3 linked regions of the Diceros bicornis minor genome follow. The protein of the gene in region 1 interacts with the protein of each later gene in a pairwise test. Links are inferred from orthologs where the notes say so. Each region holds a gene or a part of one and is shown in the gene's direction. Other genes may lie near its edges.

Region 1 (7,684 bases):
GTGCCAACAGTCTCCTTCCTCTTGATAAAGGAAAGCAGCCTCTTCTTGTCTGGAAATGCTGCACAAAAAAAAAATATGTGGGCAAGTGCCTCCTGATATGACCTTACTTTCCTCAATAACCACCCCCATTACCCTCATGGCTTCAAGCCCGTAACCAGAGTCAGATCACGGCACAACCCATGCAGGGGATTGTAATCCCTACTCTAAAGAGAACTATACCAAGATTCCTCAATCTCAGCACTAGTGACATTTTGGGCTGGATAATTCTTTGATGTGGAGGGCTGTCCTCTGTATTGTAGGTTATTTAGCAGCATCCCTGGCATCTACCCACTAGACACTAGTAGAACCCTCCCAGTATTGACAACCAAAAATGTCTCCAGACATTACCCAATGTCCCTTGGGGGTCAAAATCACCCTCCAGTTGAAAACCACTAAACTATAGACTAACTCAAAAGGAATTGCAAAACTGGCTATTATGTACCAATAGACACCAGTGGAATATGTGTGAGAGTGAATATTTAGAGTATCAGACAGAGGAATCGGGTTATAAGGCTGGAAGAGAAAACTTAAGAGATAGTGCCATTTACCTGTGATCTGGATTTAATGTTTTGGCAAGGACACCTGGAGTCAGTCCTAACACATAGCCTTGGTACCTCCTGAAAGCTTGAGTATGATGATGGCCGGTGCTAAATGAGATTGTTAGAACAACTTTGAATAAGTATTGAGAAAGGAATCAGAAGACTCAGGGAAGCAGGAATGTCAGAATGAATTTATTATGTGAGACTAAAGAACCACCACTAGAATATGTTTCCCAGAAGTAAAGATGTTGTAATGAACTTATTGTGAAACTAAAGTACTCATTACTTGCATACGTTGCCCAGAAGGGCTGTGACGCAAGTTGCCTAATGCTTAGGCCATTTGTTCTAGCAGATCTAATGGTGCTGGAGGGATCTGTGATGGATAAGAGCGCTGCGTGAAATTTCTGGAAGGCCCCCAGTATGAGAGTTGCAGCACAGATTCCCAAGAGTTCTCCAAGGCCATGCCTTCTGAGGCAGAGAACTATTCTCCACTGGGGAAACTAGAGCTATCTATCATGAGCTGGATATTACCAGATCCACCAAGTCATAAGTGCATGGGTGCGGCAGCAGCAACCTACTGAAGTACGGAAACGGTATAGGATTGAGGCTGAGCAGGTCCAGAAGACACAAATAAATTACATGAATGGATAACTCAGACTCCCATGGCACTTCTATAGCACTGATATTTCTTTCTCAACTCACTCCCATGGCCTCTTAGAGTTCCCCACGAATACCTAACACAGAATAAAAAAATTGAGCCTGGTTCACAGATGGGTTGGCACATGATGCTGGTGGGTAGGCAAAATTGGACTGCTGCTGCACTATAGCCCATTTAGGGATGGCTTTAAAGAACAAAGTTGAAGGGGAACCTTCCCAGTTGGCAGAATTTGGAGCAGTATTCTTCATTGTTTGCTTTGTATATAAAGAGAAGTGACCTGAAGTAAAAATATTTACAGATTCCTAGGTTTGTCTTTCTTGCCTGAAGGGACTCTGCCAACATCCACAATCACTGGAATTATACCATTCCTGATTAACATTACCTCAACCAAGCAATACATTTTACAGTCAAAAAAAAAAAGTGACAACATACACATGACCCTGGAATCCACTGATATTGTCATATCCCTCATCACTCAGAAGCAGCCAGCATTATAAAAATGGTGGAATGACTTGTTACTGGCTCAGCTAATGTGCCTGCCTGAGATTGGAGTGTTGTCCTACAGGATGTGGTAAGTGCTCGAAACCAACCAATAGAGAGCACCCCCAACAGCTAAAGACGTGACTCCAGAAACCCAGGAGCAGGATTGGCCTATTTTAACATCACTCTCAGTGACCCACTTACAGAGTTTGTGTTTCCTGCCTCTCAAATTTAGGCTTTGCTAGATTACTATAATTAGTTCCCCAAGGGTTGGGTGGAGGATGCTACCCCTAGAATACACAGGATGGAATGCACTGAGCTGGAAACTCTCTCACTATCACTTGGTCTCTTTGGGCTTTTCATGGCAGTAGACCAGCTGGCAAAGAAAAGAGTTACTATATTGGTGGGAGTAATCAACTGCGATTAGCAAAAGAGTCTGGGATTGCTACTACACAATAGCAGTAGGGAGGAATAAATCTGGAATCCAAGGAATTCACTGGGGTTTATCTTGGTATTTCTGTACCCAGGGATAAGTTGCACAGGCAATCATGGCCTAACCAGAGCAAGGAAAATGAAAGCTGAAGGTCTGGGTTACCTCATCAGGGAAACAACCTAGATCAGTTGATGTGCTAGCCAACAGTGAAGGGACATTAGAATGGGTAGTAGAGGAGGGAGTTAATGAATACAAGTAAGGTCTTGGCTTCAGTGTAGCAGTAGGTACTGAAGCTTATTCCACTAACTCTCTTATATTAAGTCCTTGCAGAGATTGTGAGTGGCCATCATCTTGAAGGGGCCTCTGTAAAGGACTAGACTTAACAGGGCACAAGCAGATACGAATGGTACAAGGAGTGGACTGAAATGGACACCTTCTGTGTCTTTCTGTGTATTTTCTGTCACTACTTCAAATCCTTTCATCTTCTTATTCCAACCACTGCTGCAGCAACATGTTCTGAACAGAGGTTGATGAGTTTTGGGCAAGTACACCATGACAGCACCTCTCCTCTTACTTCCTGCCTCAGGACTTCTGTGATGGGGGAGTCAGCTTGGCATTCACAATGCTGCAATTTGGAAGTGTGGAGTAGTCAATGCCCAGGAGCATTAACCTTTGATCAAAGGTGGACAGGAGCTGACAGAGGACAGAGCTTTCAGTGGACTGTTTTGAGACTCTTTCATGAAGTTTGGTCCCAAGGGATCAAGAAAACATTCAAACATGATGATGCCAACTCGATAACACAGCCTTATATTGTCTCTCCCTCTTCCTTGTGTTATTTCCCCTCCCCCTTCTCTCACTCTTGCTCTCTGGGATCAAAGCCCTAAATAAACTACTGCACATAACTCTTTGTTTCAGCCTCTACTTTTGGGGGAATCCACAAGGGGAGAGGAGAGAGGAGAATTTAATTTTTGGACACACAAGTTTGAGCTGCCCAACAGACATCCAAGTGGAAGTATTGAGGAGGCAATGGATACACAAATCTGGAGTTCAGGGAAGAAGTCCAGGCTCCTGAAATGCAATTCACTTCTCAACTTTGAAGAGGACAGTAAATACACACGTAAAAAGAAAGATATAGGACAAAATAGCACATGCAATTGTCATATAAAAAGTGTCCATAGTAAGTGTTCTGAGACTGAGTGGGAAGGACCTAAGGAGTCTTTGTAAAGATAGGATTAGATACAGATCCTGCTCTTAGAAGGGAAGTCATTCAATGAAACTGAAAAGCATTCCAAGTAGCATTGACTAGAGCATATTGATCTCAGTAGCAAACAAGTCCCTACTATTTCTGCTGATTTTTCCACCAAATTGTATCTTGATACATTGAAAGATACTTTGCACAGCTCATTTGTCCCTTTCTCAGTGAATCCATCCCTGACAAAGTGAGTTACTCCCTCTTTTGCATTCCCGTGGTACTTAGTCTCTTTTTTTCTACCTTTGTTGTTGGGTTTACCTCACTAGACTGTAATTTATCCATCTTCTATTTAATTCTGTCTCCCCAATGAGAGTGTGCCCCCTTCTGAGTGTATCTCAGCACCTAACACAGTGCCTGGCATAGAGGTGGCGCTGTTTGTCAAATAAATGAACGCATGCATGAATGGATCCCTGCAGAACCCTTGCAAAGGACTGCGTTGAGCAGGAGCAAAGAAATCGCTCCTTTGAATTCTCAGCACTTATCTGACCGGTACCTCTTGGTCACTTATTTTGTCTTATTTTATACATATTTGTATGCATATCTTGTTTAGCCCTACCATACTGTGAACATCTGCAGGGTAGGATTCCTGTCTGAATCACCTCTGCACCTCGATCAAAGTGCCTGGCATAAAACAGGTGCCAAGAACATGGAATAAATGAATCACTTGCCTTGCAACCAGCAACACTGGCATCATCTGTGCTTCTCAAACTTAAATGTGCATAGGTGTCATCTTGTTAAGATGCAGATGCCAATTCAGTAGATCTGAAGTAAGCGGGAGAGGCTGCATTTTCTAAAGAAAAGCCAGATGATGCACAAACAGCTGGTCCGCGGACCACACTTTTGAATATCAGGGTCACTACATCAGTGGTTCTCGACGGTAGATGCATAGTAGAATCTTCTCAGAAGATACTAAAAGTACTGATGTCTGGGTCCCGTGCCCCAGAGATTCTGATTTAACTCATTTAAACTCTCCATGCAATAAGTAGCAAGGATCTAGAGTTAACAGAGCTTTACACATGCAAAAAAGAAAATACTTCATCGGATCTCTTCTTATATGACTTGCTGAAAATATCTGAATAAATAACTCTTTTAGAGAAAGTAATACGCAGCACCAAATCCCCAGGTCCCTAGTCACTCTCAGAGCGACAGAGGCCCCGCCCCTGCCTTCCTTGCCACGCCCCTCCGGCGGGAGCTTGCCCCGCCTTGCCACGCCCACCGCCGCATCTCCTTCCTCCTCTACGGGGTCGACTTCCGGCGTGGAGGCTTGTCACGTGCCCGGATATGGGAAGTGGTGGCGGAACGGCTGCGTCCTCTCCACCGCTCAATTGAGGGGAACATCTTTGTCACGGTGGTTGCCCCAGCCGCATCCAGTCTCCGTCTGGGAGGACGCGCCTCGGCACAGCCGGGCTCGGTCCGGTCTTGCGGTAAGCCTTGGGCCGCGGCTGCGCAGTGGTCCCGGCGTTGGCGGACAGACGAGCGGACTGGCGGGCGCCAGAGTCTAAGGCGGACCCTTAGTCCCACTGCTGGCTCGGCGCCCGGGGTCGGATACCGCTGGCTCCGCCGTCAGGCCCCCTTTCTCTTCCCTGCCTGTCTGGGTAAGGCGCAGAGTCCAGTCGGAGCATCCCCCAACCCCTTGCTGTCCTGGGGTCTGGGAGGGCAATCTTTACACATCCCTTTCCGGTTCCGCCCAGAGGAACCAGATTTCATTTGTAAAAAAACCGACCCTGATCGTTTGCTCTTTGGCGTGGACCAGGAGAGGAGGGCGTGACAGTGCCTTCCCCTTCATTGTCCAAATCAACATTTTCGTCTAAATCTCTTAAGTGCATTTCCCTGGTTCCGTGCACAGTTTTCTGGATGACAGTGCTCCACGCGCATTGATGTCTCGATAGCATACAGGGCCCAACCCGCACGGACACTGACACTGACAAGTTATTTGTCACGCAGTGGAATGATCCAAATGAATTTAAAGAAACAAGAACCAACACAGTATTGTGGCTGACTGCCCTTGGAACGTGGTCAGACATGGTTCTTAAACCTGGAAAATAGTTTTAGAGGACCTCTAGTGATTTATTCACTGACTTACAAAAAGGTACTGTACAGGCTGGAGAATTAATCACTCGATCCGTGGAATGTAAATGCCATTGGAGGCGTGGATCTTCCTGTCTTCGTGAATATGTCTGTCATGTTCACCCCTGTAACCTAGAATAGTGTCTGGTGCTTAGGAGGCATCAATATTTGCTGAGTGAATGAGAGTCACATAGTGCGTTTCATTATGCCTAACTCCTTTATGAGGTATGCCCCGTCCTTTCTTGTTTTACCCCTTACCATACAGTCAGTGGTTGCTTTTGATCAAAGAGGGGCTGTGTGGTAGATGCTGGCTACTATTGGTCATTCATTTGACCAGTTTTTACTAGTCAGTTCAGGTTACCTCAAGAGGTATTTGTTGAGTACCTGCTAAAAAAGAACAAAACACTATGCTAGAGCATCTCTTTCCCTCACTTCTCTTTCAGGAAAGTTCTTGAGATCCAGGAGCTTATGATCTCATGAACCAATTAGTGCTTGTTTAGTAAATACAATACGTGCTGTAGCAATTGAGAGGAGAGATCAATTTGGATTAAGATCTGTATTGAATCAACTTCATATAAACCAAGCCATGTAATTAGGATAGATGCTATTCCCTGCATGGAAAAGCACCTAAGCAAAGGTTTAAAGACCGAATGAACAGAGGGCTTGGAGTGGAAGGTTTGTATTTGGGAAGATTAGGAAAATGTTGAGCAAGGGCATGTTGTCGTGAAAGCTGTGTTTTAATGTTATTATTTGCTTTTGGGTTGTGGAAGTTTGCAAAGAGCTAACCAGATACAGTAGTGTTAAATAGATATAGTTGATGTGAACCTGGGTTAGTGTGTTGACAGTGGGATCAGAAAGGAAAGATAAATTATGTGTAGCTGAGGGGAAATCAACAATGTGGTAGCAAATTGCATGTTGACAATGGAGGAGGAGAATCACATATGACAGATTTTGAACCTGGACGTTTGCTTACAGATGTGAGAGTTGGGAAGGGGGAACCTTAGGGAAGCTATAATTGTCATGTTATTTGGTGCTGTCATTTTGGCTAATTTTTTAAATGCCTGTTATATCTTTGGCAAGTTCTAAGTATACAAAGATGAATAAGCCATAGTCCTTGCCTACAGAAGCTACTTTTAATGGGGGAGAGAATACAACTAGCTACAAAATATGGTTTGTAAGTGGTATGTTAGCAGAGCAGAGAGGAAATGTTAGAGAAGTAGAAAAGGAATTCTTTGTGTGTGTGTGACTGCTTCACAGAAGAGAGATGTTTTAGCAGGATCTTGCAGGATGAGTTGGAGTTTTCCCAGGAAGAAAAGAATTCCAGGAAAAAGAAATTGCATGAACAAAAGCCCAGAGATAGAAAAGTAAACTAGCCAGTATCCAGTGTGACTTGGGGGTAGGATGGAGTAGAGCTTTTAACAAAGTGTGTAAGCCCTAGGACATAGTAAGAGATTAGTAACATGGACATTTGGTAATAGGAAGAATGGAGGTTAAGATGGGTGAAAATGTAGAGAGATGGAAAAGAAAGCCATTGGGGAAAATTCTACTTCATGGCTTCTATATTCTCTGCAGGGTAGATGGTGAAGTCATTTGCAGCGAGGGAGGAAGCTGGCACTAAAGTTGGGGTCTGAAGGAGAAAAATAAGGATTTGCAACAAGACTGATGGAGAGTAGGAAGAAAAATTATCAAAGGAAGTGTTAAAGAATTGCTGAGCACCATTGAAAGTCTAGCTTTGACTGGATTTAGATATTTGTAATGAATGCAATGAACGTGGATATGTGGCCTTCTTAAGTGGCATATGGTAGCCCAAGAGAAGTGGAGGAAAAAATACAGTTTATGGAGATTGATAAACAAGGTGCACTGGTCTACAAACAGTATAAGATAATTGAAGGGGAGAGTGGGGGTGTAGGGAAGTGAATACTGACTGTAGGCTAGGTTGGAAAAGAAATTAAGCTTGGAGAGGCCAGATAGACTAAGAAAACAGGAAGGAGGAGATGGTTAGAAGACTAGAGGCTGAGATGAGATAAAAGAGGGATGGAAGTGGGAAGATGTGATTTTTGTGAGAAAAGCAATTTTGTGAGTTGGAGCAGAGATAGAAGTTTCACAGATTGAGTAAAATATAGGAGATACCTAGTTTACAGAAGTGTCATTGTGTTATAAAGATTCTTTCTAAGTCATTTATTTAAAACTCATAATTTCTTCATTTTCCCATGGAA
Region 2 (7,944 bases), on another chromosome or scaffold:
AATCAGAAATGCTGTAGGTCAGCCAATCCCAAATGCTGCAGCTCAGCCAATCCCAAATGCTGCAGCTCAGCCAATCACAAATGCTGCAGCTCAGCCAATCACAAACGCTGCAGCTCAGCCAATGAGAAAGGCTGCAGCTCAGCCAATGAGAAACACTGCAGCTCAGCCAATCCCAAATGCTGCAGCTCAGCCAATGAGAAACGCAGCAGCTCAGCCAATGAGAAATGCTGCAGCTCAGCAAATGAGAAATGCCCCAGCTCAGCCAATCAGAAATGCCCCAGCTCAGCCAAGGAGAAGCCGTTGGCGCCCTGAACTGTCACTCTGCCCCCACGGACTTTCCTTTAGAACAGCCCCTCCCTGCTCCCCCTTTTTTCCATAAAAGGAGCTCCTCTCCCTTGTTTTCCGGATTTAACTATCGGTTGCCACAGAACGTGCATCCAAAATTGCAATTCTTTTGGCTATTCCGGAATAAACTCATTTTCAGGGTAAAGTAAGCAGCGAATTTGCTTTGTAGTTGTCAATATGAATTTGGGGGAGGTAAACGTTGTCTTGAGCAGATGGTATACTGCGATAAGCAAAGTTCAGACTCATCAAAAAGAGTAACAGCTGCTGACGGTGGAACGTCCAAAGCCCTGGCCAAAGGCTACTGTGACTTTCAGCCAAATGCATACAAAAGTCACAGAAAGGACTGTAACTTATGAGTGGTGCGGACAGTCCTTTCTAAGTTTCTTAATAATTAACTACTTGTTATTAGCAAACTCTCTTGGGACCCATAAATTAGATGTAGCCTACAGATACAGATAACGTTCCAAACCCACATGAAGAAACTCTACATCTGTGAACGGAGCACATGCGCCTTTGGATGCTCTGGACTCAACTAGCTAAAAGCCAGGTTAAACATAAATCACATAGCATTTATGATTAGCATAACTTTAAAAAACAATGAGAACTTTTTCCCCCAAACGGTGATCAAGTGCCGTTTTTATTGCAGCTGGAGAAGGTGTTGGAAATATAACCTAGTTTATTGGACTATTTCTCCAAGGGCAGGGTCATAAAAGGTCCATTTTTTTCTGGGCAGTAAAGTGGCTTTAAATTATAATATAGCTGCACATAATCAAGTTATCTCTTTTTTTGAAGATGGGAAATTGGAAGATTTCTTAGAACTTGGAAAGACTTTTTATCATTTATTTCATGAATCACTAAGCAAAAGGCAGACGTACTATTTCAAATAAGTTAATACTTAAAAATGTCACTATGTCACTTGACTCAAAGATTTTTCTTTGTTGGGGGGGGTCCTCCAACATGAAATCAACAGTTCTGCAGCAAAGGGCAGGACCAGGAATCTCCAGCACTGTGTGGGGAGAGGGGGAAGGGTGCTTAGTCCGTGGGGACCAACACTGGAACCACCCTGTCATCAGCACCAGCACCAAGCATCGGCACCATCACCAGCACCAAGCACCAGCACCAGGAACCATCACCAGGCACCAGCACCAGCACCAAGCACCAGCACCAGGCACCAGCACCAGCACCAGCACCAAGCACCAGTAAAAGCACCAAGCACCAGCACCAGGCACCATCACAAGCACCAGCACCACCGCCAGTTCACCGCAGGAACAAAGATGCCGTCCCCCGCTCGGATACCGCGGACGCTCGGCCACGTGACACCGAACAAGGCCGTTGGAGTCAGCGCCGACCCCGCAGTGACGTGGCCCCCCTGGGGGAGGTAGCAGGCTGTGGCCGTGAGCGCGGAGCACTAGCCCGCCCACGCCGGTGCCCCGCGGGCCCGAGGGCGCGCCCTGCGGGGTGGGGCGGGCTGTCCTCGGCCGAGGCGGGCCGTGAGGAGCGGGGGCGCGTTTACCGGGGCCGCCCTCCGGGTTCACGGCGGGGGGGGGCACCGGTCTTCACAGGGTCCCGGCCTTCCCGTGGCCACAGTGTGACCCTCGGCGGTCCCTGTCCCCTCCAGAGCCGCGCCTCAGGCTGAGGGAGCCCGCGGCCGCCGCCGCCCGACAGCCGCCCGCGGAGCCGCCGGGGTGGGAAGAGTCCAGGGAGGGGTCCGGGGAGGGTCCGGGGGGAGGTCTGAGGAGAGGACCCGGGGGGAGTGTCCGGGGAGAGGGTCGGGGAGGGGGTCCGGGGAGAAGGTCGGGGGGAGTGTCCGGGGAGAGGGTCGGGGGGAGTGTCCGGGGAGAAGGTCGGGGGGAGTGTCCGGGGAGAAGGTCGGGGAGGGGGTCCGGGGAGAGGGTCGGGGAGGGGGTCCGGGGAGAAGGTCGGGGGGAGTGTCCGGGGAGAAGGTCGGGGGGAGTGTCCGGGGAGAAGGTCGGGGAGGGGGTCCGGGGAGAAGGTCGGGGAGGGGGTCCGGGGAGAAGGTCGGGGAGGAGGTCCGGGGAGAAGGTCGGGGAGGGGGTCCGGGGAGAAGGTCGGGGAGGAGGTCCGGGGAGAAGGTCGGGGAGGGGGTCCGGGGAGAAGGTCGGGGAGGAGGTCCGGGGAGAGGACCCGGGGGGAGTGTCCGGGGAGAGGGTCGGGGGGAGTGTCCGGGGAGAAGGTCGGGGAGGGGGTCCGGGGAGAAGGTCGGGGAGGGGGTCCGGGGAGAAGGTCGGGGAGGGGGTCCGGGGAGAAGGTCGGGGAGGAGGTCCGGGGAGAGGGTCGGGGGGAGTGTCCGGGGAGAAGGTCGGGGAGGGGGTCCGGGGAGAAGGTCGGGGAGGGGGTCCGGGGAGAGGGTCGGGGAGAGGGTCCGGGGAGAAGGTCGGGGGGAGTGTCCGGGGAGAGGGTCGGGGGGAGTGTCCGGGGAGAGGGTCGGGGGGAGTGTCCGGGGAGAGGGTCGGGGAGGGGGTCCGGGGAGGGGTCCGGGGAGGGGGTCCGGGGAGGGGGTCGGGGAGGGGGTCCGGGGAGGGGGTCGGGGGGAGTGTCCGGGGAGAGGGTCGGGGAGGGGGTCCGGGGAGAGGGTCGGGGAGGAGGTCCGGGGAGAGGGTCGGGGGGAGTGTCCGGGGAGAAGGTCGGGGAGGGGGTCCGGGGAGAAGGTCGGGGAGGGGGTCCGGGGAGAAGGTCGGGGAGGAGGTCCGGGGAGAGGGTCGGGGGGAGTGTCCGGGGAGAAGGTCGGGGAGGGGGTCCGGGGAGAGGGTCGGGGAGGGGGTCCGGGGAGAGGGTCGGGGAGGGGGTCCGGGGAGAGGACCCGGGGGGAGTGTCCGGGGAGAGGGTCGGGGGGAGTGTCCGGGGAGAAGGTCGGGGAGGGGGTCCGGGGAGAAGGTCGGGGAGGGGGTCCGGGGAGAAGGTCGGGGAGGGGGTCCGGGGAGAGGGTCGGGGAGGGGGTCCGGGGAGAGGGTCGGGGGGAGTGTCCGGGGAGAGGGTCGGGGAGGGGGTCCGGGGAGAGGGTCGGGGGGAGTGTCCGGGGAGAGGGTCGGGGAGGGGGTCCGGGGAGAGGGTCGGGGGGAGTGTCCGGGGAGAGGGTCGGGGAGGGGGTCCGGGGAGAGGGTCGGGGGGAGTGTCCGGGGAGAGGGTCGGGGAGGGGGTCCGGGGAGAGGGTCGGGGGGAGTGTCCGGGGAGAGGGTCGGGGAGGGGGTCCGGGGAGAGGGTCGGGGGGAGTGTCCGGGGAGAGGGTCGGGGAGGGGGTCCGGGGAGAGGGTCGGGGGGAGTGTCCGGGGAGAGGGTCGGGGAGGGGGTCGGGGAGGGGGTCCGGGGAGAAGGTCGGGGAGGAGGTCCGGGGAGAGGGTCGGGGGGAGTGTCCGGGGAGAAGGTCGGGGAGGGGGTCCGGGGAGAAGGTCGGGGAGGGGGTCCGGGGAGAGGGTCGGGGAGGGGGTCCGGGGAGAGGGTCGGGGAGGGGGTCGGGGGGAGTGTCCGGGGAGGGGGTCCGGGGAGGGGGTCGGGGGGAGTGTCCGGGGGGAGGGTCGGGGAGTGTCCGGGGAGAGGGTCGGGGAGGGCGTCCGGGGAGGGGGTCGGGGGGAGTGTCCGGGGAGAGGGTCGGGGAGGGGGTCCGGGGAGGGGGTCCGGGGAGGGGGTCGGGGGGAGTGTCCGGGGGGAGGGTCGGGGAGTGTCCGGGGAGAGGGTCGGGGAGAGGGTCGGGGAGGAGGTCGGGGGGAGTGTCCGGGGAGAGGGTCGGGGAGGGGGTCCGGGGAGGGGGTCGGGGGGGAGTGTCCGGGGAGAGGGTCGGGGAGGGCGTCCGGGGAGGGGGTCGGGGGGAGTGTCCGGGGAGAGGGTCGGGGAGGGGGTCCGGGGAGGGGGTCCGGGGAGGGGGTCGGGGGGAGTGTCCGGGGGGAGGGTCGGGGAGTGTCCGGGGAGAGGGTCGGGGAGAGGGTCGGGGAGGAGGTCGGGGGGAGTGTCCGGGGAGAGGGTCGGGGAGGGGGTCCGGGGAGGGGGTCGGGGGGAGGGTCGGGGAGGGGGTCCGGGGAGGGGGTCGGGGGGAGTGTCCGGGGAGGGGATCGGGGCGAGGGTCCGGGGAGAGGCCTGGGGAGGTAGTCCGAGGGGAGGGTCCGGGGGGAGTGCCGGGGAGAGGGTCGGGGAGGGGGTCCGAGGGGAAGGTCCAGGGAGAGGATCAGGGGAGGGGCTCCGGGGGAGGTCTGAGGAGAGGGTCCTGCGGGAGGGTGGGGGGGAGGGGGCTCCGGGCCGCGCGGCCGCCCGGAGATCTCGGCCGGAGCCCCTCGTGAGGGCGGGCTCCTCACGCCCCGCTCGCGGTGACGGCGCCAGGGTCGCCGGAAACGGGGCGACGATGAGTCCTCCCTCCTAGAGACCCGCCTCCCCCGAACCCGCCACCGGAACGCAGACGCCCCTCACCCGGAGTCACCCGGAGTCCCCGCCAGCCCCCTGGGCCTGCGCGGGAGAGAAGGACGGCGCGTGAGGCCAATGAGAGCCTGCGCGCCCGCCCGCCGTCCAATCGGCGGCTGCGCAGGGCGGGGCCGGGCGGGCGGCGAGCGGGCGGCGGGGTGCGGGCCCTCGCAGAGCCGGAGAGAGCGAGCGGCAGAGCGCGGTGCGGGAGGGGACGCGGGAGGCGCCGGGAAGGCCCGCCGAGGCTGCCCAGCCGGAGGCCGCCGGCCCGATGGAGGAGATGGAGGAAGAGCTCAAGTGCCCGGTGTGCGGCTCCTTCTACCGCGAGCCCATCCTGCTGCCCTGCTCGCACAACCTGTGCCAGGCGTGCGCCCGCAACATCCTGGTGCAGACGCCCGAGGCCGAGTCCCCGCGCAGCCGGCGCGCCTCGGGCTCCGGCGCCTCCGACTACGACTACCTGGACCTGGACAAGATGAGCCTCTACAGCGAGGCGGACAGCGGCTACGGCTCCTACGGCGGCTTCGCCAGCGCGCCCACCACGCCGAGCCAGAAGTCCCCCAACGGCGTGCGCGTCTTCCCGCCCGCCGTGCCGCCGCCCGCCGCCCACCTGTCGCCCGCGCTGGCCCCGGTGCCCCGCAACTCGTGCATCACCTGCCCGCAGTGCCACCGCAGCCTGGTGCTGGACGACCGGGGGCTGCGCGGCTTCCCCAAGAACCGCGTGCTGGAGGGCGTCATCGACCGCTACCAGCAGAGCAAGGCCGCGGCGCTCAAGTGCCAGCTCTGCGAGAAGGCGCCCAAGGAGGCTACCGTCATGTGCGAGCAGTGCGACGTCTTCTACTGCGACCCGTGCCGCCTGCGCTGCCACCCGCCGCGCGGGCCGCTGGCCAAGCACCGGCTGGTGCCCCCGGCGCAGGGCCGCGTGAGCCGGCGGCTGAGCCCGCGCAAGGTGTCCACCTGCACGGACCACGAGCTGGAGAACCTCAGCATGTACTGCGTGCAGTGCAAGGTGCCGGTGTGCTACCAGTGCCTGGAGGAGGGCAAGCACTCCAGCCACGAGGTCAAGGCTCTGGGGGCCATGTGGAAGCTGCACAAGGTGAGCTGCGGCCGGTCCGCGCGCTGCGCCCCCGCCGGGCCCGGTCCCCGCCCGCTGCAGTGCGGGGAGCGCGGGGGCGTCGAGCGTCCCCCAGAGCGGCTGCGGGCTGCCTCGGGGCGGGGCTGCGCCCCGGCGTGCGGGAGGGCGCTGCTCCCCGGGCCGAGCGGGCGCGGGCCCCGGCGGGCGGGGGAGTCTCAGCGGGGGCGCCGGGCGGGGACGGGAGGCCCGCGGGCGCAGTGCCGAAGATCGATCGGGGACGCGGTCCCGGCCGGGCGCTCCGGGCGGAGCGGCGGGCGCGGTGGGGGTCGCCGCACCAGCCGGCGTGAAGGGGTCCCGGTCTGAACGCCAGGCGAGTGTGTCCCCCGGGTGACCCCCCTCCAGCCGCCCACGCGCCCGTGTGTCCAGGGTTCAACCCCTGTCTCCCAGTAGCGTCTGCGAACTGTGGCACACCCGTTACCAACCTTGTCTTCCTGGTCTCTCGTTGGCACCTCCACCAAAGCCGCTTCAAGGAGAGAGCCTTCAACAACGTGTCAGGTCCTGCCACTCCTCTGCTCAAAACCCTCCAGTGGCCCCCAAGTTTCTTAGACTGTCCTGAGAATAGGCCACCAGCACCTCCACGACCTGTTCCCCTTTGACCTCATCGATCTCATTTCCTCCCACTCTGTTCCTGTGCTGCAGCCACACCAGCACCTTTCAGCTCCAGGGCCTTTGCATCTGGTGTTCATGCAGCTTGAGACGCTTCCCGATACCCTGTATCAGGATGGCTCACTCCTGCCTTCTTCAGATCGTGGCTCAGATGTCGTCTTTGCAGTGAGACCCTTCTGACCACAGTTGCTGCTTCGCATCTCAGACACCTCTTGGTTTGCTCCCTGCTTTGTTTTTCTCAGTAGTCCTCAGCACTAACTGGCATGCTATATATTTTAATTATCACGTTACTTTTGTGTTTATCTATTGCTACCCCCCGACACACACACACAAAATAAGCTTCATGAGGAAAGAGATCTTTATAGCATTATGCCCACGCTGCTCAGAAGGAAGGGAACCACTCTTGAGATGTGCATAAATTTGACTTTTACTTTTCAAATAATCCACTTACCTCGGGGTGTGAAGGGCAGGGCAGGGGTTCAGCACCATTGTAGGGAGGTTTTCTTCACTCACTGGGTCACAAGCCCAGGGATGAGGCAGGGAGGTAAGGACGGTGCTCAGGCCTCAGCTGCGCCCGGCTCAGGGTCCCCCAGCATTCCTTGGAGACTAGAAAGGCTGGCCTTTGAGAGGCCATTGATACTTTATTTACAGCAAGAAAGAAAAAAATCACCATTTTCAGCAATCGAGGAGGTTTTCTCAACTCAGTATTAATTGGATGTGATCAGTGTTTACAATCATTTGTGTTCTCACATATAAGCCGTTAAACCACGTTAGTCCTGATGGAGATTTAATTCAGCACAAATTTGAGTTCCATAAGGCACACGCCACTATTTTTAAAACACTTGAATTTAAATTTTTTTAAATGACATTTAATTTTGAAAGTTTTCAAAACTTCAGTTCACAGCCAGCTTTTTCTTCCTATTATGATTTCACTCTTAAACTGCTAATTATAGCTTTTGTTGAATTGCCCTACAAAACTATCCTTGGAACTAAGAAATGAATCACCCTGCCTGGAAAAAGAACTGAGAGTCACAGGCTAATTAGGATGGTCAAACCACAGCATTATTTTTCTGTGAAGAAGAGCCTATACGTTATCCATTAAGACCAAAAGCAACCTTTAAATCTCTGTCCAGCTCATGTAGATTTGAAATGTTAAACCATTTGTTTTCTCAGTAATGGAAGTTGTGAGTTGAGACTGTGGTGAGGACTGGGTTGAAATTTGGATGTCTGCTAAAAAAGAATAATGTTCGGGCCCTTGGAGACATGACATAAGTAGGCTAGGAAGGGAATGTTGGTTCATTTTTAAAAAGACCATTTCTTCCCTGATCTTTTGCACATTTTTTCCAAAATAGTAAGTAGGTATAATTTTTTTTCACTCAATTTAAGGATTATTAAACTGCCAAGAAAAAAATAAAGCAGAAAGCTGACAGATTTTAACATTCACGTATCATCTG
Region 3 (7,745 bases), on another chromosome or scaffold:
GTGGAAATTAAAAGTGCTATGGGAGCACGTAGGAGAAACATTTAATCTAAACTTTGGGAGATTAGGGATTGTGCATATCTAGCATCTAACACTGGCTAGCATATTAGTAGTGAAACAACTTTTTTTTTGAAGAAGAGAATTCATTGAGAACATGAAATACTCGAGTAAGATGCTAAGGGATATGGTTGAGACACCATTCCAAAAGACCACTGGCATTTCCACCACAAGGGAACTAACTTAAGATCTCATTTAATTATCACATCTAGCTCATTGTACAGCTAAATTATCCAAATATTTCAGGCTTGTGTCCTGCTCCAAAGGGGTAAGACTCCAGGTGGGGTCTCCTCAGCAATAATCTGGGTCAGGTGCCTGGACTGAGAGGTTGACTCTAACACTTGCTGACAGCTGGGAGACCCACATAATCTTCATATTGTTCTTCCAATTCCCTTCAGTAGATTTTATTGTGATTTTTTAATGTCAAAGCCCCGCCTAAAAATATGACCTTAATAGCCTCTTGGTTTCTCTTTATTTTGCGCACACACACACACTCTTATACCCAATATTATCTCACATATGATACATACATACATATATATACACAATCCATGTATATGTATATATGCATATATATACACAGTCTGACTCTCTCCATTAGAATATCAGATCTTGCAGAGAAGGAATGCAAACTGTTTTGTTCACCACTACATTCCCAGCATCTAAAACAGTGCCTGATATATAGTAGGTACTCAAATATTTATTGACTGACTCTGCCTAGTCCTATGGTACCACTTTCTTATTTTAGAATTTTCAACATTATTCTTAAGGACATGATCTGACTGTAGACAATTTCCTTTCTCTGGGCATTTGTTTCTTCATTTGTAAAATGCAGGAAATTAAATAATCTATAAAATGTCCATTTATGCTAAAACTTCATGACTCTGTGATCAAAACTTTTTTGAATTATAAAGTATTCCTTTTCCAAGGGCCAGCCTGGTGGCTTAGTGGTTGGGTTTGCACACTCCACTTTGGCTGCCTGGAGTTCGCTGGTTCTGATCCTGGGTGCAGACCTTCACACCACTCGTCAAGCCAGGCTGTGGCAGCGTCCCACATATGAAGTGGAGGAAGACTGGCACAAATGTTGACTCAGTGACAATCTTCCTCAAGCAAAAAGAGTAAGATTGGCAACAGATGTTAGCTCAGGGCCAATCTTCCTCACCAAAAAAAAAAAAATTCCTTTTCCACTTAATTCACTATGTAATTTCCATTTAGTTATTTTCTTATTGTCATATACAATAATGTACATGTAGTTACAGTTCTCAAAGAACTTTTGCTTCCATTGTTTCCTATGACACCTCGGACTGCTGGAGCATTATAATTATTACTTCTGTGTTAGTTCTACAGATGAAGTTTACTTAGTTTATTACTTAGTTTAGTTCTATAGAGGAAGAACTACAGGCTCAGAGAGGGTATATGAGTTGCTGAAATTCACCATGCATCTCATTTCACTAAACCTATCTGTTATGAATAAAAGTTGTTGGCTTGGCTAATACTTTAAGTATTTTTATAGTCATATAAAATAATTTTCTCCAGAGTATTTTTTAATATATATTCATCTCATATGTGTAGTTGAAGGGAATCTAACATGGTTCTCCAGTATTCCCAAGCATTTTGGTTAGACTCTAGCCCAGCCCTTTCTATAGGAAAAGAGAAAGCTACTGGCATGTTTGAGTTGAGAGCACAAAACATGACCAAATCTACTCCCTGTCCATCCTGCAATAGTGTCTAGTATTTGATTTATTTCTTTGAGTAAAGGCATGGCCTCCAGAAAACCCCCACAATGAAAAAGAATACAGAGTAATCAAAAATTTTTGGGTTCAAATCTCCACTCCACCATTTACTAGTTTTGTGACTGTAAACAAGTCATGGACCTTCTTTTCTTCATCAGGAACGTGTACTAAGAATAACTACTTCTTAAGAAAAATGTAATAATTAAATTAGATGGTGTAAATTAGTGCCTGGTATATAATACACACTCAGCAAATGTGAGCTCCTCCCCATTCTGGCAACTTGGAGGAGAAACATATCAATCTAATCACATTTTAACAAACAAGCTGTAAGGCAATGGAAAGAGGAAAAGGAAAAACAAGGTAGGTCTGGAATGTGGTACTCAGTAAATGTTGCTGAATGAATAAATTAATTACAGACAGGTACTAGCTCTACATATTTTGATAAAAGCAATGAAGAAACTAAACTTCAAATATTCTTAGTGCAAGACAATTACAGTTTAGCCCTAGAAAAGAAAGGCTGGCATTTCTTTGCAATCACTTTAACTGAATTTGTTTTCCTTTAACTTTGGGTTTCTTATAGGACCATGTGGCTTCTGGGCACCATTGGAACCTTCCAACTTGTGAGCTGGTTATTTAACATTATTCTCAAGTCTAGAGAAATCAAAAGAGAATCTTCTCTAGTCTAGAATCTAGGAAGAAACAAGTAGGTAAGAGATAAAGACTTTTTTTGGCAGCCAAGAGGAATGAGTCCTGGCTTGGAAACATGGGTGTTGAGAAGGAGTTGGGTGCCAGACAGAAGAAACAGGGAATCAAGAACTGAGGAAGCGCGATTGATGCAACATCTCAAAGGCTTCATTAGATAATCTTTTAAAGTCCCTTCCATCTCCAAGATTCTATAAACCCCCTGGTTTAAACCTTACTCCCAAAATGAATTCTACAACAGTTTCTACAATACACTGTATTCTTGTAACATGTCCAGGAAAGACTGAGTTCAGCAGTTTGTGCTCGGATATTTGTCTAGAGAAATTTTTGTATTCTTAATTCTGAAGGTCATTTTATAGAAGATGCATTGTGGAGGACGTATATGGACAACGAGTAGGAAACTAAGCTCCTAGGGACAAGCGCCTCCTCTTGTTCCACAGCAGCCAGCACTGTGCCCACTCTGATGAAAACTATTCCTAACAGGATTTTCCTCCTCCTCCTCCGTCTTCTAGTTCACTTAGCGTTTCCCACTCAGGAACTCCACGTCAGTACCAAATCACCCAACCCTCTTCCCCATTTTACCACATTCATACCCATCCCACACCACCCCATCCCACCTCACCTCACCACACACACACACACACACACACACACACACACACACACACTCTCCCATTAGATAAAAATCTAATGACATTTCCTTCCAGACGGGTTGGAATCCCTGTTTCAAAGGAAGCTATAAAACTGCAAGGGCTTGAGACTGGTTATCTTTAAACCCAATAGTCTTACATTTCCATGGCACTTTACATGCACTTTCTTTTTTAGCTTTACAACAATCTTATAAAGAACTAAGAGGGATTCAAAAGAAATAATCCAGGAATATCTGATGCAGAGGGCCTTGAAGCTTGGATTCTGGAGAGAAAGAAGAGAGAAAACCAAATTCCTAGGACACAGTCCCAAGAGACCATGAGATAGCTGGTGAAGGAAATGCAGGTGCAGACAGCAGATCTGACGAGACGCCAAAGGCGTGGGGTTATCCCTGTTGAAGGTTGAGGGAGTTAAACTCACTGGTTCCACCTTGAATGGGAGCGAGGGGGCAAGGTACATACTAATATCTAGTAATGTCAAGATTTGGCGAAAGAAGAATTTTCGTTGTGATGGGGTTCCAGTGTGTTATGAATCTGCATTTTTAATGGAGGAGAGGGTTTCCAAGACTTAGAAAACACCAGAGAGAAGAAACCTAAGAGTCTGAGCCTCTGATGAGAGAAGTAGGAGAAGGGATGACCAGAGGAAAATGAGTTGGAACAACAGAATAAAATGTTTCATGCATTTAATATGTGCCAAGATAAATAATTTAAGACTGCTGGGTTTCAACTGTATGAACTTTGCACTGTAAAGTTCTCAAACACACAAAGAGAAGTCGGTTGTACCTTAAGCTGACTGTGTGTGCTAAACTCTCACGCATAGCCTGAGAAGGGGAGCCAGGAAAAAGAGAAGAGGGTCAGCGTAAGGGCAGGGATGCTGTTCTCCAGAAGCAGTCTTCTGTACAGAAAGTGCCCTTTAGGGTAAATATGAGGATTAATCTAAGAGTAAGCAAGTAACATAAGAAATTCACCTGGAAGAGCCTTTAGCCTGACTGTGGTGGCTGCTCTTCGACCCTTAGCTGTGGTGGGGCAGGAGGATGCAACCAGGTACATCATGGAGCTCTTCAGCAAAGCTGAATGTTCTTGACGGGGCCACCTGGCACTCTGGCAATTCTGAGGAAAGAAAGTATTTTCCCACTCAGCTCTTCAAAAACCCACTTTCCCAGAAAAGCAGCAGTGGGGGTGAAGAATTAGTTTTGCATTTGGACTAACAAATTAGAACCGTTTTCTTTCCAGTTCGGAGGTTTCCTTCAGCCTTTCTTAAAGTCAATACAAATTAATCTACACTGTATTTGCTATTAAAGAAGTCTGGAGTATTTTATTTTGTTTTTTTAAACCCAATCGCCATTTTCCCCCGAGAGCTAGAAAGTAAATGGCCACGTTTATCCCCAGGATCAGGAAATTCAGACAGAGGCACGTTGTTTAGGAGGCGCCCAAGGTGAAGTCGGAAAGAACTTGTGGCTGCAGGTCAGTCTTCCTCTCCAGTTTTGGGCGGTGCCTCCTGAGCTGCCCCCAGACAGATAGGCTGTGGTCGCCAGAGGAATTTTCCCAGGGAGAGACTGGCCTGAAGGGCACCTCAGGTCCACGCTGCGGTTTGCAGTGGTTTGCATCACCAGCGCGGGGACAGCGTTTTCGTTAACTAGGGTGAGTGAAGACCGCGAGCGGACTCCGGCCCCAGGCCCGATCCGGGCAGGCGCGAGAAGGGGGTCGCGCACCGCAGATCCTCCCCCCTTCGCCGGTTCCCTCAACCGGCGGGAACCCTGAGCCTCTGCAATGCGCCGCCCCCGCGCGGCTTCGGGAAACAGAGCCTGCAGCTCAAGCTGCTGGGGCCCTGGCGACAGGGGCCGAGCCTGCAGATCGGGAGCCCCGGGAGCAGGACCTTGGAACCCCTGGCGCGCAGCCCTCGCCGGGGCACGTCCCTGCGCCCCACCTACTGGTGCCGGCCCTTTGGTCCCCCGCCTCTCTCCCCGCTTCGTGCGCAGCCCCGGCCGCGCTCCAGCGGCTGCGGAGGCCGAGAGGCCGCAGGGACCCGAGCGTGCGGGCGGCGAAGGCACCACGTGTCCGACCCGGGCTGGCGCGGGCGGAGCGGGCCGGGCCCGACTCCCCGAGCCTGAGCTCACATCAGCGGCGGCGCCCGGTCTCGTCCGCACCCGACCCCGGCCCAGCGGGGCCACGGCCACTCGGGCGCGCGTGGATGCCTCCTCCTGGACGGCGCGATGGGGCCCTTCTGGCAGAGAAAGGGTAAGACCAGGCGTCTGCGCGGGCTCTGCTGTCAGTGCCCCCGGGCACGGAAGGGTGACTGATCCTTGCGGTCCCATGAGGGCCGAGATGGGCGCTCGGGACCCCGGGAAGGCCCCTTCCAGTGCCTGGGGGTATCCAGGAAAGGGAGACTCAGTAGAGGCAGACTGAGGGACAGCGTCCCTGATTGATTGGTGACTGAGACGGTTGGGCTGGACGTCTCGTTGCAACAGGCAAGGTTGACCAGGCCAGTGGTTTTGGGTCGCCCTTTACTAATTGTCCTCGGGAGTGGGGCTTAGAAATGGTGCCTTTTGATAAGGAAGGTTCAGTAACGACTTTACGGTATCCGAAAAGAAAGCCTCAGTAGATCGCTCCAAAGATGTGGATGCCAAAGTCCCCGGAGGACACTTTTCGAGTTTCTACTTCCTTGGGGATTTTTCATACAGATTGTTTCAGGTGAGGAGGGAGGACCTATTTTTCAACAATGTGTTGTTGAAGGCCTCAGCTGATGAGCTCAAAACATTCTGGGTGTCATCAACAGGTTTGAATTTAAAATGGGTGAACTGTAGGGGCCGGCCTGGTGGCGTAGTGGTTAAGTTGGCGCCCTCCCCTTCTTTGGCTTGGGGCTCGCGGGTTCGCATGCCAGGCGCTGACACACCGCTTATCAAGCCATGCTGTGGCGGCGTCCTGTATAAAGTAAAGGAAGATGGGCACAGATGTTAGCCCAGGGCCAATCTTCCTCAGCAAAAAAGAGCAGGATTGGCAACAGATGTTAGCTCAGGGCTAATCTTCCTCACCAAAAAAAAAAGTAAAATGGGTAAATTGTACAGAGAAAGAGATCTGTAAGCTTAAACTGGTGCGTGGGAAAAGATTATTAAAGCTTTAAATGGAAGGAGTCACCTGGGGAAAGCTGCTTTCCTGTTGTTTTTATCATGTTCTTCTGTGTTGAACAAGCAGTGAGGTCAAGGAAAGCAGGCACCTCCACTGCTAGGTTCCTTGCAGGTCCTCTGGCCCCGACCACAGACCCTGGGCAGCAGAAGCAAAGAGCAGCTCCAGTGTCTGAATCTCTCTTCTCAGAAAAGGGCCAAATTTGAAGCCCACAGTTCAGAATCTTCAACTTACAGTTTCTGCTGCAGCACTGCTAGCTCAGATACTTGGCCAGGCACATGTTAGAGATGTTTGCTGCTTCTTCCCCAAAAGGTGCCCTTGGGGGCAAAAGAAGTAATCGCTGTGCCAAGGTGTCTCCACCTGTACATTTGGGAGAACAGTAGCACCTGTCCCCTTGAGAGATGGGTCCAAGTGAAATTATTTTTTTACTTGCTGTAGGTTTTAGAGCAGAGATATATTATCACAATGCAGCTTTTGGTTATTTAAGTTATTTGGTAATGACACTATTTTCATGCAGAACACATTTAAAGCACACTGTTCAATCCTTGTTGATCTCCATATATTTAAATCATATATTTAAATCATATTTCATTAACTTGGTTTGCATTTAATAGTCTTTAAAGTGATATAATTGAGACCAAATAACTGTATGAGTTCTTAAATGGTAGTTTCCTGAAAAACAGAGTCCAAACTTACATTTTTATAGATGAGCTACTGGGGCTGGCAGAGAGTTGTCCAGGGGTGTGAATTAGCCAGTGGCAAACCTAGAACCAGCCATCTCTTCACACCCAGTCCCGTGGCTTTCTCATAGGGGCTGGCCCTGTGGCGTAGCTGTTAAGTGCGCGCGCTCCGCTGCTCGTGGCCCAGCTTCGTATCCCAGGCACACGAGGATGCACCACTTGTCAGGCCATGCTGTGGTGGCGTCCCATATAAAGGAGGAAGATGGGCATGGATGTTAGCCCAGAACCAATCTTTCTCAGCAAAAAGAGGAGGATTGGCAATGGATATTAGCTCAGGCCTGATCTTCCTCACAAAAAAAAAAAAAAAAGAAAAAGAAAGAAGCATAAAAGAGTAACTTTACAGACTAGTGATTGGCAGGACTTTGAGATGGAGTGAAGGAGTCTGTGACTGTAAAGGAGTAGAGTAGCACGAGGGAGATCTTTGTGATGATGGCATAGCTGTCTATCTTGATTGTGATGATGGTTATACGAATCTACATATGTGATAAAGTATCATAGAGCTACACACGCACATTGCACTAAGGTCAGTTTCCTAGTTTGATATTATAGTACTTTATTTTTTTAATTTAATTAATTTTTTTATTGAGGTAGCATTGGTTTATAACATTATATAAATTTCAGGTGTATATCATTATATTTCAACTTCTGTGTAGACTACTTTGTGTTCACCACCCAAAGTCTAACTGCCGTAAGTCACCATACAAATGTGCCTTTTTAGCCCTTTCGCTCTCCCTCTCCCCGCTTCC

What was found.
Region 2: the proteins of EXOC1 (region 1) and TRIM9 interact in a two-hybrid assay, tested with the Homo sapiens proteins (2 studies listed by BioGRID and IntAct). The link is inferred for Diceros bicornis minor from reciprocal best matches to the Homo sapiens genes EXOC1 and TRIM9.
Region 3: the proteins of EXOC1 (region 1) and SYBU interact in a two-hybrid assay, tested with the Homo sapiens proteins (2 studies listed by BioGRID and IntAct). The link is inferred for Diceros bicornis minor from reciprocal best matches to the Homo sapiens genes EXOC1 and SYBU.

Annotation. Positions count from the first base shown.
Region 1 is NC_080747.1:43,525,407-43,533,090, forward strand, and holds the start of EXOC1 (exocyst complex component 1), read left to right. Parts: upstream 1-4,673; 5' UTR 4,674-4,825; intron 4,826-7,684.
Region 2 is NC_080744.1:1,164,211-1,172,154, forward strand, and holds the start of TRIM9 (E3 ubiquitin-protein ligase TRIM9), read left to right. Parts: upstream 1-4,938; 5' UTR 4,939-5,023; coding exon 5,024-5,845; intron 5,846-7,944. UniProt on the Homo sapiens protein: E3 ubiquitin-protein ligase which ubiquitinates itself in cooperation with an E2 enzyme UBE2D2/UBC4 and serves as a targeting signal for proteasomal degradation.
Region 3 is NC_080760.1:27,009,331-27,017,075, reverse strand, and holds the start of SYBU (syntabulin), read left to right. Parts: upstream 1-4,739; 5' UTR 4,740-4,777; intron 4,778-7,745. UniProt on the Homo sapiens protein: Part of a kinesin motor-adapter complex that is critical for the anterograde axonal transport of active zone components and contributes to activity-dependent presynaptic assembly during neuronal development.